Linked DNA regions of Ovis aries. The protein of the gene in region 2 purifies or fractionates together with the protein of the main gene of each other region. This does not show direct contact. Links are inferred from orthologs where the notes say so. Each region holds a gene or a part of one and is shown on either strand. Other genes may lie near its edges.

Region 1 (7,267 bases), on a different chromosome or scaffold from region 2:
AAAGTAGAAGGGTCAATTTTATATAACTGATTAAAGTTACAGTACACAATGGCATCTTCTGGTAGCCCATACTGAGACCGTGTGGTTACAATAATGGTACGAGGAACCTCTTCTCCAGTGGCAGCCTTATTGTTGATCTACAGCAAGAAAAAGAATATGAATGACGATTATACTTAAAGTCAACATACTCCAATATTTTTCAATCAATAAAGAATCCTTATGATGCAAAGTGGTATAACCATTAAAAGTCATATAACTAAACTACAATGGGAAAATACTTGTGACGCATTAAGTTAAAGGAAAAAAGTTAGGGCACTATCTTAATTTGGGGTGGACTGCACTATGAAACATCTCACTCTAGCCAAAAAGTTCTCTTCAAAATCGTATAAGTCCAATAGCAAGCTTCTTCTCACTCTTTTTCTTCATGAATGAAATGTCCTTTTCTAAATCACATCCACCTTTCAGGACTAAACTTCAGTTACCAAACAATCTCTGTAAAAGCTCCTCGCCTCACCACTATTTCTGAGCATCTACATACATAATTATAGTCTTATCTTGCAATTCCCACACATCTGGGGACTACCTTACATTGTTATGTAACTATTCCAGGTGTGATGGACGTCTCATACAAATGGGCATTGTGTTCTACATTCAAAATTCTTTGCCCTTGTACACTTCAAGTATTACACTTTTTTTCCCTTAAGTCAAGCATGTCTGCCCTATTGTTTCAAAGGACGGTTAACCAGAAGGGGGGGAAAAACACATCAGTCTTTTCAACTCACCTGAATTCACTTCAAGCACCCTCTGTATAAATTGCTATACCACTAAAACTTTTAACTCCTAAGAGGCCAAAGATGCTTGCCTTATATCTCTTGACAGAGCTACACATTCACTTATTCAAGTACACAAGCAATATATATTTACTGAGCACATACTACATTACAGAGGCTAAGATACAGGCTCTAAAGTAATTCAATTCAGTGGCAAATACATTCAAACCCAGGACTTAGAATGTGTTGTGCTGGATGTAAAGATACATGCCAAATATTTCAGAAGCAGAGAATACAGGTACCAATGGAGCAGGGAAGGAGAGGTTACAGATATGGACAGAAACAGATTGTCGGAGGAGCTGTCTGAACTGACAGTCTTAAGAGATGAGTAAGATTTAACTGGGGAAAGGATGAATTATATAGAAGCAAGAAACTGTACGATGTCTACAGATATTTCACCATTGGTAACAGTAAAGCCACAGAGGCAGGGAATAACAAGGTATTAACACAGAAGACTCTCATTAAGTAATCTGATGGCTGAATACAAGTGACTTTTAAAATCAAACAAACCTATATAAGATGCCAGTTTTCCCCAAATTCATTTCCTCATCTATAAAACAGGAGTAATGATGCTTACCTCCTAGAGTTATGAGATCTGAAAAAGGTAAATGTATACTTGGTGGTACACAGTACATTCTATTATTCTCTTCTTACCTGGGTAGTTGCCAGTCCATTGCTAATACTGAATCCATTAATTGTTATCTGAATTTGTCCTCTGTTAATCATTTCAATTACTGCTTCTGCAATAGTATTCATAGGAATGACAGGCATATTAAGAGCTGTATTACTGCTGTCCGCATTGTCTCCTCCATCAGGACATTTCATCTTAAAATAATTACACACAAAATACATCATTAGGGAAAAGATCCCAAATGCAGATAACTTTATTTCAATTACAATATTGACCAGGTTCTGACCTTGACAATTTTCACATCTGGTAGACTATCAAGAAATGCTTTGAGGTCGATGCCATTCAGCACAATCCGATTGTCATAAATGTGCCCATTGGATTTAAAATCGATAACTGCTTTTTTCTAATAAAAAAAAGTTTCAGACATATCTGTTAGGATGCACAGGAACAGTAGTAAAAAATAAATGACTACAGTTCTTTGCAATTCCCCTACAGTATTGTTTTTCTACCTACCTTCAGGTGAGGGAACATATTAGCATGATCACCAATAAAGAAAGTATGAGGCATATAAGCCAGCTTCTCAGAATATTGCTCAGCAACTTCAGCAGGTGAAGTTTCCTGATCAGTGATGATATAATCCATGAAAAGTGCGCCACTAGTCCCAGGATACCCCAGCCACATTGCCTAGAAGAAAAAAAAAAATCAGATGGAAAACTAAGAACCTTCATCAAAAGGGTCTAAAATTAAATAAGTCAACAAACGAGGGTGGACTTCTTTAGCCAAGAGCAATCAAGTAATATTTCAAACTAAACTTCCAAGTGCTAAACTGTTTTTCCAATTTATAACACAGAACAACTGTTTACATCAACTACAAACTGCATGTCTCCATAAACACGTACCTGTGGGCATTGTGTCCTTACCTATAATTCTTTGTCCCTATGCATTTTCAAGAACTACACTTTTTTCATAAGTTAGGCACGTCTATCCTATTGTGTCAAAGGACAGTTAATCAGAGGGGGGAAAAACATATCATTGTCTTTTTAGCCCAATAAACATAGTGAATGTTATTATTATTATCATTATTTCCTTTACCTGAATAGGAGCTGGCCTGAGAGCAAAGAGTTCATTTCGAGCACCCTTGGTATAACCATTCATATTTACAAGGATGTGTATACCATCTTGATGGATGCGATCAGCTGCTTTTCCATTGCATGGAATCTACAGAATAAAAAAATAAAAATTTATTATGTACAATCTCAGACTGATTCAATTAGCCTTAATGATATTAAACAGAATTCAAATTCCCAGATGCAAAAATACAAGAACACAAATTAAGAAAACATTAATGCAGAGTAAAAATATGGTTAAGTGCCATTAAAATGGGCCCACAGTATCACAGAAACAGGATACAGAGGAAGGAGAGTTTAATTCTACATTGAATGTATGAACAACTAGGCTTCATAGCAGAGATGGTATTTGAAATGGGTGTCCAAAGATGCATAAGAGTTTGAGGGAGTTGGAAGAATTATAATCTCACAGAGAACTGTATGAATAAGGAACCAGAGTAAAGTGCACAGTAGGTTGAAAAAAATGGGTAGATCACTTCTGTTTGCTATGGGGTATAACTGAAGGCTGATGGTGGGTGAAAAGCAGTGGCAAACAAGGTTGCAGTCAAACTCATAAAGGTTGTGAAGGCCATTCTGAAGAGTCTGGACTTCCTATATGAAGTTTACATATATGAAGATTACTTAAAAAAAACCCTCCAGGTATAAAACAAGCCACAGGGATATAACTTATGACATGAGGAATATGGTCATAATACTGGAGTAACTTTGTAAGGAAACAGATGATTACCAGACTTTTCATGGTGATTTCATAATATGTGCAAGTATCAATTAACTATGTAGTACACCTGAAATTTTCCCAGGTGGCGCTAGTGGTAAAGAACCCGCCTGCCAATGCAGGAGATGCAAGAGACACAGGTTTGATCTCTGGGTTGCCAAGATCCCCTGGAGAAGGGAATGGCAACCCACTCCAGTATTCTTGCCTGGAGAATCCCATGGACAGAGGAGCCTCGGGGGCTACAGTCCATAGGGTTCAAAGAGTCAGACACAACTAAAGCAACTTAGCGAGTGCACACACACCTGAAACTAATATTGTATGTCAACTATGCTTCAATTAATATATATGTATAAAAGATATATATATATTTTAAAGAGTTTATACTTCAGTCAATAAGCAGTGAATCCTGAAAGGTCTCAAGAGATGGAGGGTCGTATGCTGCTTGGTCGCAGAAGAGTCCAACCCTACACCAAAAATGGTAAGGTGTACTTCCAAAGTAATAGCTATAATGCAAAAGATGTTGGGTACAAATTATTTATGAAATGACAAGAGTCTTGCAGTTCTACTAGGACTTCAATGATTCATCTATATGAATTACTAGACATACCATACATACCTCTGTTAATCACCAAAGTGGCCAGAAGGGCCTGTAAGAAAAAACTCTAGTCCATACCTTCAGCAACATTCCCTCACAGGTTTCAATCTTAATTTATCATAAAACTTTAGCTCCTAGAGAAAATAGCAATGGAGCCAAGTATAGAAATAAAGATTTAAAGGCAAAGGCCCTTTAAATGACCTGTTTGTTCTTCCAAGCCACCATCTTGCTCAACTTATTCAGGTAATATTAGATATCTACTGTCACAAGTGCTAGCTCAATCCCCAGAGAAGTTCTATGTCCAAGCAGAGATATATCATATTTCTATTTAATTGCAACCTCAGCAAAATCCATGATGATTATAAATGTAATGTAATAAATGTAAACAATCAAGGAAATAAGATCAAAGCAACTGCCCACAGGCATGTAGTATGCATGTGCGTGCATGCGTGCGTGTGTGTGTTAGTTGCTCAGTCGTTTCTGACTCTTTGCGACCCCATGGGCAAACCCACCAGGCTCCTCTGTCCATGGTATTCTCCAGGCAAGAATACTGGAGTGGGTTGCTATTCCTTTCTCCAGGAAAGGCATGAAAGAGCTGATGTTAAATATTTGTCAGGAAAAATACAAGCTAGACGTCAACAGTTTTATTCACTATTTGCTCAAATTAAAAAGCTAAAGTATAAGAGTTACACCTACCTGAGAAAGATCAATGAAATGATTGGCTTCTGCCATCACCTTCACTCGGAAGTTTGTGCCGTCATCTGGGCTCAAGGCATAACAGAATACCTGAAAGGCAGCACATAATATGTATGTAATAACCTTGGCTCAGATCTTTCCTAAAAAGACACTGGGCCTAACACCTAATGGCGACAATAGTGGCCCTAGGGAAACACTAGTCTTACCTCAAATTTATCAGGATTGTGCATGCCTGGAATAGACTGCATAAGATGAGAAGTAGGATGATTCCCAAAGTCAGAACTCACGTATCCTACACGCAGTCGACCATCACTGAGCTTCAAGTCTTTTGGATGCTCATATGGTGGTTTATGAAGTACATTAATCTAACAATGGAATTCAAGGCTTGTTAGTAAAATTGAATCTATATGTAAACTTTCACCTAGGAAAACTGACTAAAAACACAACTCACACCTATTGGGAATGGTTTTGTGCCCAGAATACTTCTTTAATTCATATAGCCAGTTCAATGCAACCTTATCAACTTATATAACATGGTTCATACTGTGACCTGTTTCTGAGGCCAGTGAAATAGCCCAAGCAAGTCTAAAAGTTATAGGAAGGAAGCAAAGTGGACAGAGTATGACAAACCCTACATTTAAGAAGAAAATTCTGTAGGGGAACATTTTCAAAAAACAGAATTAGACCTAGCACTCCACTCAATTCTGCTAAGTAAATTCCCACCTTTTATCAAGTAGTGCTCTGATTTTCAAAAATGAGTATAAACTATATTATTAAAAACTATGATTTTAAAACTAAAGGAAAACAACATCAGCCTACTGGTAGTATTTCAGTTAGGATTCTGCCTTATAGAATGGAAGGGATTATGATCAAGATAGGACAGGGACTTCCTTGGTGGTCCAGTGCCTAAGACTCCACGCTCTCAATGCAAAGGCCTGGGTTTGATCCTTGGTCAGGCAACTAGATCCTGTGTACTGCAACTAAAGATTGCATATGCCACAATGAAGACTGAAGATCCTGTATGCCACAACTAAGACCTGGTACAGCTAAATATAAAAATAAAAGACAGGACACAATGGAAGGAGCTTCTGGGCTCACTCACAAAGCTTCATTTCTCAACTTGGGTGGTGTTCACCTTACGATAACTCACTAAGCCATAAATCTGATTCACACAGTTCTTTGTATCTGTGTCTTACTTTACAACAAAAAGATTAAAACAAAAGACTTGCACCTTATCCAAGCAGAGGTTTCCATGCCTCTCAGCAATAGCTTTCCTGAAGCCATGAGAAAGAGGATATAGCATACTATGATGAGGATGCACAGAAGGCAACCTATTCTTCTCTAACTGGTCAGCCACAATGCTAACCAACTTCTTCATTCGCTCATCATAGTCTGTCCAGTCACAGACAATCTAGAGAAGGCAAAAAGAAGATATTATCCAGTAAATCGTATTCCACGACTTAACATTTTATGTGTCTTTGGCCTCAAGTAATGTCAGATAACCCATTAGAGAACACTGTCTCCAACCAAGCTTGGATTAATATGGCACATAACAATTAAAGAGAGATTACAACCCTGAAAGCCAGTTACTGGCCCGTTATTCTTTACCTGCAGGCAATGAGCCAAATTACAGTAAGCGTCAGGAAAATCAGGTTTAAGCTTCAGAGCAGTGCGATAAGAAGCAATTGCTTCTGGAATATTCCCTGAATCCTGGAAGTAAATAAAAGTGGGATGGTTAAAATGTTCCCTAAAATTAAAAACATTATCTACTAAGATGCACATATAATAAAATACATATTAAAAAATAGTACCTTGTGAATGGAAGCCAGATTACTGTGGGCATCTGCAAATGCAGGGTTAATCTGAATGGCACGAGTGTAACACTGCAAGGCTCCCTGAACATCCTGCATCTCCTTTAGGGTGTTTCCCATATTAGAGTAAGCATCAGCAAAGGTAGGACTGATTCTAAAGGACAGAACAAAGATTTTATTTCTCTAGTACTAAAACCTTTAACCCTGTAATATTAATTTAGTCTGCTGTTACTAAAAGTGCCATATATCAAATGTGCCAAACACCAAGCATTTAAAACCTTGAAAGAAAAAATAAGGCTGGGAGTCTCTTACCGAATCGCCTCCTTATAATGCATCAGAGCTTCCTGCAGTTTTCCCTGCTGCTGTAATACACTTGCTAAATTTGAATGGGCAGCAGCAAACTCTGGGAAGACCTATAAAGATTAAAAATGATAACTGAGGTTTAAAAAAATAACTTTAGCTTAAACAGCAGTAATAACTTACAAGAACTTGGCTCAAGCACCTTTATATCCCTATACTTCTCTCTACCTTCTCCAAGTCTATGCATTCTTCAAAGCCAAAGAGCTCAAATTCCACCTCTTTATTTTATACCTCTCCATGTTTCAAAACATAATGAGGTAGACCTCTCCTCATCTTAATTTATGCTGGTAACTCTAGCATCTCTCTCTTTGAAATTGCTACCACATCTAACCAACATTATAGCCATCAGGCACTGAAATTATATACTTACTGATAACTCCTCTTGAACTGTCGCTTACTGTTTAAATTTTTATGCAGATCTTATCTACACATAAAATAACAAACTCAATGTTAAGGACTTTCTTGAATGTTACAGGACCTCACTCATACTTTAGGTACTCAA
Region 2 (7,267 bases):
AACAGGCGAGGCACCCGTGATCAGAGCAGGATCTGCTGGAGCTGGAGGTGCTTTCTCCTGCCTACTGTTACTGGGCGCTTGGGGCTGACTAAGAGAGGCCACCGTGCCTGTTGCCCTGGGGGGATTTAGTTTTTCATTACTTAATTTTCCTAAAGCTGGCGGGAGTGCATGAATGTGGGCTGGTGAGGGGACACCGGCACATGCTCCACCGACGGCAGATGTGGGAGGCACTGAGGGGGTTTGCTGTAGTTGTGCTCCAGGGCCACTATGAGGCTGTGGCTGGCCTGCGGTCCTGGTCTCAGACTGGGGCTGAGTGTCTGGCCCAGCGGGTAAAAGCTCTCTCGGACCTCCCCTGCTTCCAGTTCCTGCCAGTTCCAGTGCGGGGCCCTTGCCAGGCTCACTGACTCTGTCTGAGTCAGGATCCCCTCCTCTAGCAGTTCTCCTTTCACCCCCCTCCCCTGGACCCTGTCCACCGCCTGGGCCAGGTCCTGGAATGGTCCCTCCAACTGAGGCGGCAGCAGCGGCTGCAGCTGCGGCGGCGGCAGCTGCCCTCTGTGCTTTGACAAGCTGGGCTTTTGCTTTGATGTCTGCAAGGGTTCTGGCTCCTGTTCTGTTAGGACTAGTGATGGAGATTGGAAAACGAGCCCTGGGAGAGACCTGCGATGTAGGAAACGGCATGGGAGAGATTCTGGAGACCGGGATCTGAAAGAATTAAGGGGAAAAAAAACAACAGAGCTTAGCTTTCTTTTATAAGAGTAACAAAACTTCATTAACACAAATTCTCAGAATAGGGTGAATGCTATCACAAGGACGGGAGGCCTGTGGCTAAGAGACCAATCCATGGAGACAGCCACACAGGTCCGTCTCTAGGGTCTTTTCACCTCCTCTACTGGTGCCAAAGACTCTCCTCCGTTGACAATCACTCCCACTCAGTCACAAAACTCTTTTCTCAACACAATTCTGTCTTAATGTCACTACTACTCAGAACAGCTGATCATTTAACATACAGACCTGTCTATGATATCTATATTTTAAAATGTGCGTAATAGCAAGAAAAGAGAAATAGAAAAAATAAAGTAGCACACTATTGTTGCTGTTTAGTCACGAAGTCATGTCCACCTCTTTGCGACCCCATGGACTGTAGCCCACCAGGCTCCTCTGTCCATGGGATTTCCCAGGCAAGAATACTGGAGTAGGTCGCCATTTTCTTCTCCAGGGGGGTCTTCCCAATCCCAGGATCAAACCTGTGTCCCCTGCATTGACAGGAGGATTCTTTACCACTGAGCCACCTGGGAAGCCTGTCTTTTATTTCTTGGCTTTACTACGAGGTCCAGGGAAAATTTCTTGTTCCCTTTTACACACTCACACATGTACAGCTAAGCATATAGGCTGAATTATCTCAAAGTACAGAGGCCTCTGGATAGCACCAGAAGAAAGACAATGTGTAACCCACCCCACCCACCCAAGAGGGAATACGTACATACTGGCTACACTATGAACCAAAGTCATTCTCATCGCCTGCTGGTATTATATTTATTCGTGGAGCTTTAAAAAAATATATGTGCTCTAAGTCCTATCCCTAAAATTGAAAATTAGAACTCCTAGAGGAAAAATGCATTTCTAAAAACCTTGTGAGGAGATTCTGAATGCATCATTAGGTCTGAAACCACTGATTTTCATATCATAAAATATATTTGAAAAGACTCTGACTTCTGTTCAAAACAATACTTTGAAATCTATTGGAATGCATCAGGATGCACCAATCTTAAACCTTCTAATAGTTGGTAAAGTTAAAAACAGAAAATAATGGTTACAGATGTTCTAGGACATTTAACTAAAAAAACTAAGCCACTGAGCCCAAAGATAATGCATCTTTCCGGAACTCCTTAATTGAGAATAATAAAGTCACTAAGGATTCTGCATTATTGGCAATACTCATTTCTGAAAAGGTCAGCAGTCCTGAAAAACTCTCTCTCTTTCAGAAGTTAGACCTATGGGATTTGTGTAACACTTGTCATAAAGCCCACATATTTCTCATCTTGAGATATACTGAACCTCTGTCTCAAAGTTGAATCTGTTTTACATCCAACTGCACACAGTATTTCAGAAGCTGCCCAGAGTAAAGTCGTTATTACCCTTTAGTAATACCATCTGGAACAGACAATTAATAGGGAGAAAAAACAGATGAAACTAGAAAATTAAAAACAAGAAGTAAAAAGCACAGTTGTTTAGAGGAATCATATATAGGATTAGGAACAAACCATCTTACATCAGAATAACCTTGAGAATAACAAGATACTCAGCACAATAAATGATATCTATCATAATGACTGAAAATCATCAATAACATGTTGATGAAATAAGGATAATCCTTCAAAGTGGTTTAAATAAAAATTTTTAATGCTTAAAAATAATTTGTTATTTATGTAACTAGTCCTATTATCTGTCTATGTAGAATAAATGAGATGTAATACTTTTTTTTTTAAATTATGAAAACCACACAAGGTTTCTAGGCGTTGATAACAACTGCAACAACTTAACTTACTGAGAAGCCCTCTCTCCTTGTATAGAAAAGGAATTAGATTCTTTCTGTTGTAACTGTAATATACAACGTATGTCTGAGTTTTCTATCTGTCTGTAGCTGTATATATATGTGTATATTTTATATTATATATATATGTAGGATAGATACATGTGCATACGTAATTTTATACAATAAGAGATTGATATTAAAATTCAAATTTTGTTTTTCTACTTAAGTTTTGTTTAAAAGATTTGTTCTAAATTACATTAAGCTTCGTCTCAGAAAGAGGGATTTGGATAAGGTCTAAGGTAAGAGAATTATAATACTAAAGTCACTTCTGCTAGAAAGCTTTGAAATGAGGCAGGAGTGAAAAAAAAAAAGGAAGAAAGTTAAGTAACATAAATTTGGTCACAAAAGATTTAAGTTTTCAGTGCAGAGCCTCTTTGGATTAGCAGAAAGATGTGGAAACAGAAATGATGGTTCTTACCCAGTGTCATTTATATAAAGTAAAACCTAAACTGTAACCCAGCTCTCAGGTCTAGAGATAAGATAAGCTTCAAAGAAAGGTTTCTCATATTTTTAAAGAAGAAGAATGAGTGATTATTATAAAATGAAAATCTCCAGCAAAGCATGAGAGTGTATCCTAATGGTAGAAAAATATCAAAAAAAGGAAAAGGAAAAAGGAGAGTCTTGAGTGCTGAAACCACAGAATTTAAAATTAAGAACAGCATAGTATTAGCAAAAAGAAGCAAAGAGGAGCAGAGTCTCATAGCGCATGAAACAGGTCAAGTACTTCTAACGGAGTATTTCAAGGGTTATTTCCAGTAGGACTTCGGTTCATCTAAGTTAAATTTAAAAAGGAAAAAACGTGTTTCTATTTGGCTTATTTTTTAACTTATATTCCAATGTGAATGAATACCCAGTGCCGGAGTTCATGCAGACACAATAATACTAATAAATACTATTAATAAAAAACATTAAGTCACTAGATATGATTAATGAAATGAAGAATGAACTGAAAACTGATGTTAGGCACAAGACCAAGTACACACGAAGGTAGTGACACTGCTATAGAAATTTAAAAGATCTTGATACACAGCAATATATGGCTAAAACACAAGTTAATCACATATCCAAAGCAGCAGAGCTTAGGCTATACCATCTTACTAAAATCCCTCAAGAGAGGGAGATTCATGGCGGCCACACACATTTCCTATAAAAGGACAGAACTAAAAGGGAGTTCAGACCTTCAAAACATCTCATCAGTTATGGCAGCAAGAAAAGGGTCAAGGCACATTCAAACATCATGGCTCTTGATACAAAGATACATGACCTCTTACATCAATGACCTCCTCCTGTTTGCTATTATACTTAACAGAATACATTCCATAATTGTCTTAAAATACAAGAGTAGCCAGCAGGGAGGGTGGGTGGAAGTGGATTACATTAGATTCTCAGATATTTGAATAAATATTCAAATCCCAATAAAGACCTGTAAAGCCGCACTTCTAAATGCCTGTTTCTTAATAATTTTACTCATGTATATGACCATGGTTACACACATATCAAATACATACCACTGCTTCCACATTAAGAAACATCACAAACACTTGAAATTTAGTAGGCAAAACCAAAAACTTGTTCAGACCATCTCTCTTCTTCAATTCTTCCTTTCTTACCTTGAGGGGTGGTACTCTCCGCACCTGGAACCTGTCCCCTCTACTGAGAAAGGGCTGTGGGGAGACCTGAAATGGCTGCTGGTGCTGGCGATGCTCAGTGACACGCGGCCTTTTCTCCCAGCTTGTCGGGGCCTCTTCTTGGGTGAGAGAAGATTTCCTCTTGAGGCTTTCTGGGCTGTGATCAGCCAGAGTTGATGGAGGCTCTTTCATAGTTGTCTCCTGTGGACCTGCTTCTACTGTGGGCTTCATTACTGTTGTTTCTACCCCAGGACTCTTGGGTTTGCTCAGGGAAGTAACTAAAGCTTCCTGGCTTTCATTTTTATTATAATTTGAAGGTGTAGTGAGATGATTCTCTTTCTCAGATTCCTGTTCAGCAGAGGCAACTGGCTTTTGCTCCACAAGAGCCTCATCCTTCGGGCACTTGATGGGAGGAATGCTGCTAAGCTCATTTGTATTGGTAGCCGGGGAAAGAAGGGGCTCTGTGGAGTGTGGCTGCATCTTATCTTGGCTTTCATGCTCTTCTTTTCTGACTGGTGATGGCATCTGCAGTACTTCTTCTTTAGATTCTAGCTGGGGAATTACTGGGACTACACTGACAGGTGAGGCCTCTGAAGGAAGCGTAGATTTTGGTTGCTCAGCTGGGGTTTTCTTTACTTTGGGATCATTGGGTGAAGCTGTCAATTTCTTTGAATCTTCAAGACTCAGGCCAGAACTAAAGGGTGGAAGAAAAAAATACTGTAGTTGAGAAATCGCCTATGTTACTGAATATATTATGAGATAATGTATATGGCAATATCTGGAATAATCTGTGGTACTTAGCCAGTAGTCTTTATATATTATCATCACTATTATTAATATTAGTGAAAGGTCTGGAACTAGAGCACCTAGATTCAAATCCTGGCTCTGATACCTACTATCCATGTGATATTAAGTAAGTGAGTAGCCTCTCTGTCTCAGTTTCTTTAACAGTGTTGTTGTTTAGTCACTAAGTCATGTTCGACTCTTGGCAAACCCATGGACTGCAGCATGTCAGGCTTCCCTGTCCTTCACTATCTCCCAGAGTTTGCTCAAATTCATGTTCATTGAATTGGTCATGCTATCCAACCACCTCATTTCTTTAATAGTACACTGAGGCTAATCACTTCACAGTGTTGCTAGGATGAGCAACTAATGCATGTAAAGTACTTAGAACAGTGTACCTAGGACATAATAAAACCTCACTGTAATGTTAATTATTATTATTACTTCTGCTTACAAAGGAGCTACACTGTCTACAGGCATACACCACAGACTTCCCACAGAGAAGTGAAAGAAGCCAAAGACCCATGTCCCATAGGATTGTGGGTTTGGACTGCAATCAGCTTGGACAGCAAGGAGATCAAACAAGTCCATCCTAAAGGAAATCAGTCCTGAATATTCATTGGAAGGACTGATGCTGAAGCTGAAGCTCCAATACTATGGCCACCTAATGTGAAGAACTGACTCACTGGTAAAGCCCCTGATGCTGGGAAAGACTGAAGGCAGGAGGAGAAGGGGACAACAGAGGATGAGATGGTTGGATGGCATCACTGACGCAATGGACATGAGTTTGAATAAGCTCCGGGAGTTGGGAATAAGCATGGTGTGCTGCAGTCCATGGGACTGTAAAGAGTCAGACACGACTGAGTGACTGAACTGAACAGCTTTGTTCTGAAGTACCCGTAGAAAGGCTGGCCCAAGAAATCTAAGGAAACCGGAGGAGACAGTAGGAGAGATGACTAATCTCCAGAGGTTGAAAATGAAAACTGAATCTTTGGAAAGTCTGTTTAAATTTTACTTGGTATAGCTCTAAAATTCTGAGATTAAGTGCCTCCGAGTTATCCTGGGAATGAAGGCCAAGTAGGACTTCCTGGCTAATAGCTAGACTACCCTGGAGGGTTCACTACAGATTTCCCCTAATGTCTCAGAATAATGTACAAGTAAAAATAAGATAGTCCTCTTTGGTGACTTCAAATAATCAGTCCTGTACCCCCGAGATGGAACGGCTAAGGACAAATTTGTACAATAATCAAATGTAGTCCTTCCCAAAAAGCTGGCAGAAAGTAACAGCTAAAAACAGAAAGACCCAAGAATGGCTGTAACGCTTGGAATGAATAATATTTACAGAATTAACTGCCACCTGTGATCATGGTCTAAATGTATTCACTTTGATTTCTGTAGAACAGCTCAAAGCTCACACCAAGAAGGTAAAAAAATCAGTGTACTGGGCTCTTCATTTCATTAAGAATCACTTCTGAAATGACCACAAAGGGGATAAGGACAGGAAGATAAGGAAAAGAGCTGTTTGTTCTCAAGCTATGATTATGCAGTCCATTAGGTATACATAAGGAAGGAAGAGAAACTAACAGACAATTAAGACTCTGGGTATTCAATTCTATTTCAAACAACACAGCCCCATTGTCATCTATTAAGTGGCCCCATTAAGTTTTTTTTTTTTTTTCTGGGCGGTTGAGGGGGATGCTTCGAGGCTTGTGGGATCTTAGTTCCCCAACCAGGGCTTGAATCTGCGCCATCGCAGTAAAAGTGCTGAGTGCTAACCACTGGACTACTAGGGAATTCCTTCCATTAAGATTCTGTTAAGGAAAAAACAAACGCACTATAGTGCCTTGAGAAAAGGGTCTGTATCTTGATTCAGCTATGTGTATCTCCCAGAGTGTCTTTTAGAGAAGAGAGGCTGTTTAATTACATGTTGAATATTATGGCATGTATTATAGGATTCCTTAGTGATTCTGGATAAGTTATCCTTTTGTGGGATAACTGCCTACAGTAAAAAAAAAAAAAAAAAAGTATAGAACTTAAAAAGAAAGGACTCTAATTCAAGAAAATAAAATCTTTTTTATAAGAAACCATACCATCTATAATGGCAATGTGTTAAGAGTTCAAGATTATGAGAAATCCAATTCTGTGTACCTAAGAATTATAAAAAGAAAATAATTTTCTTGGTAAAAAAAATAGAAGAAAATTGCAGACTAGATTTCCTGGGAAAGTAGTTAGATGAAGTAACACATGACATATGTATAGGAAT

What was found. The genes of interacting proteins can lie anywhere in the genome.
Region 1: the proteins of ASXL2 (region 2) and OGT purify together in Homo sapiens (affinity purification with mass spectrometry; 3 studies listed by BioGRID and IntAct, with this or other methods). This does not show direct contact. The link is inferred for Ovis aries from reciprocal best matches to the Homo sapiens genes ASXL2 and OGT.

Annotation. Positions count from the first base shown.
Region 1 is NC_056080.1:64,222,756-64,230,022, reverse strand, and holds part of OGT (UDP-N-acetylglucosamine--peptide N-acetylglucosaminyltransferase 110 kDa subunit), read right to left. Parts: intron 6,819-7,267; coding exon 6,718-6,818; intron 6,560-6,717; coding exon 6,406-6,559; intron 6,305-6,405; coding exon 6,203-6,304; intron 6,006-6,202; coding exon 5,826-6,005; intron 4,960-5,825; coding exon 4,801-4,959; intron 4,685-4,800; coding exon 4,595-4,684; intron 2,680-4,594; coding exon 2,554-2,679; intron 2,146-2,553; coding exon 1,975-2,145; intron 1,865-1,974; coding exon 1,748-1,864; intron 1,656-1,747; coding exon 1,485-1,655; intron 138-1,484; coding exon 1-137. UniProt on the Homo sapiens protein: Catalyzes the transfer of a single N-acetylglucosamine from UDP-GlcNAc to a serine or threonine residue in cytoplasmic and nuclear proteins resulting in their modification with a beta-linked N-acetylglucosamine (O-GlcNAc).
Region 2 is NC_056056.1:33,088,761-33,096,027, forward strand, and holds part of ASXL2 (putative Polycomb group protein ASXL2), read right to left. Parts: intron 4,916-7,267; coding exon 4,204-4,915; intron 703-4,203; coding exon 1-702.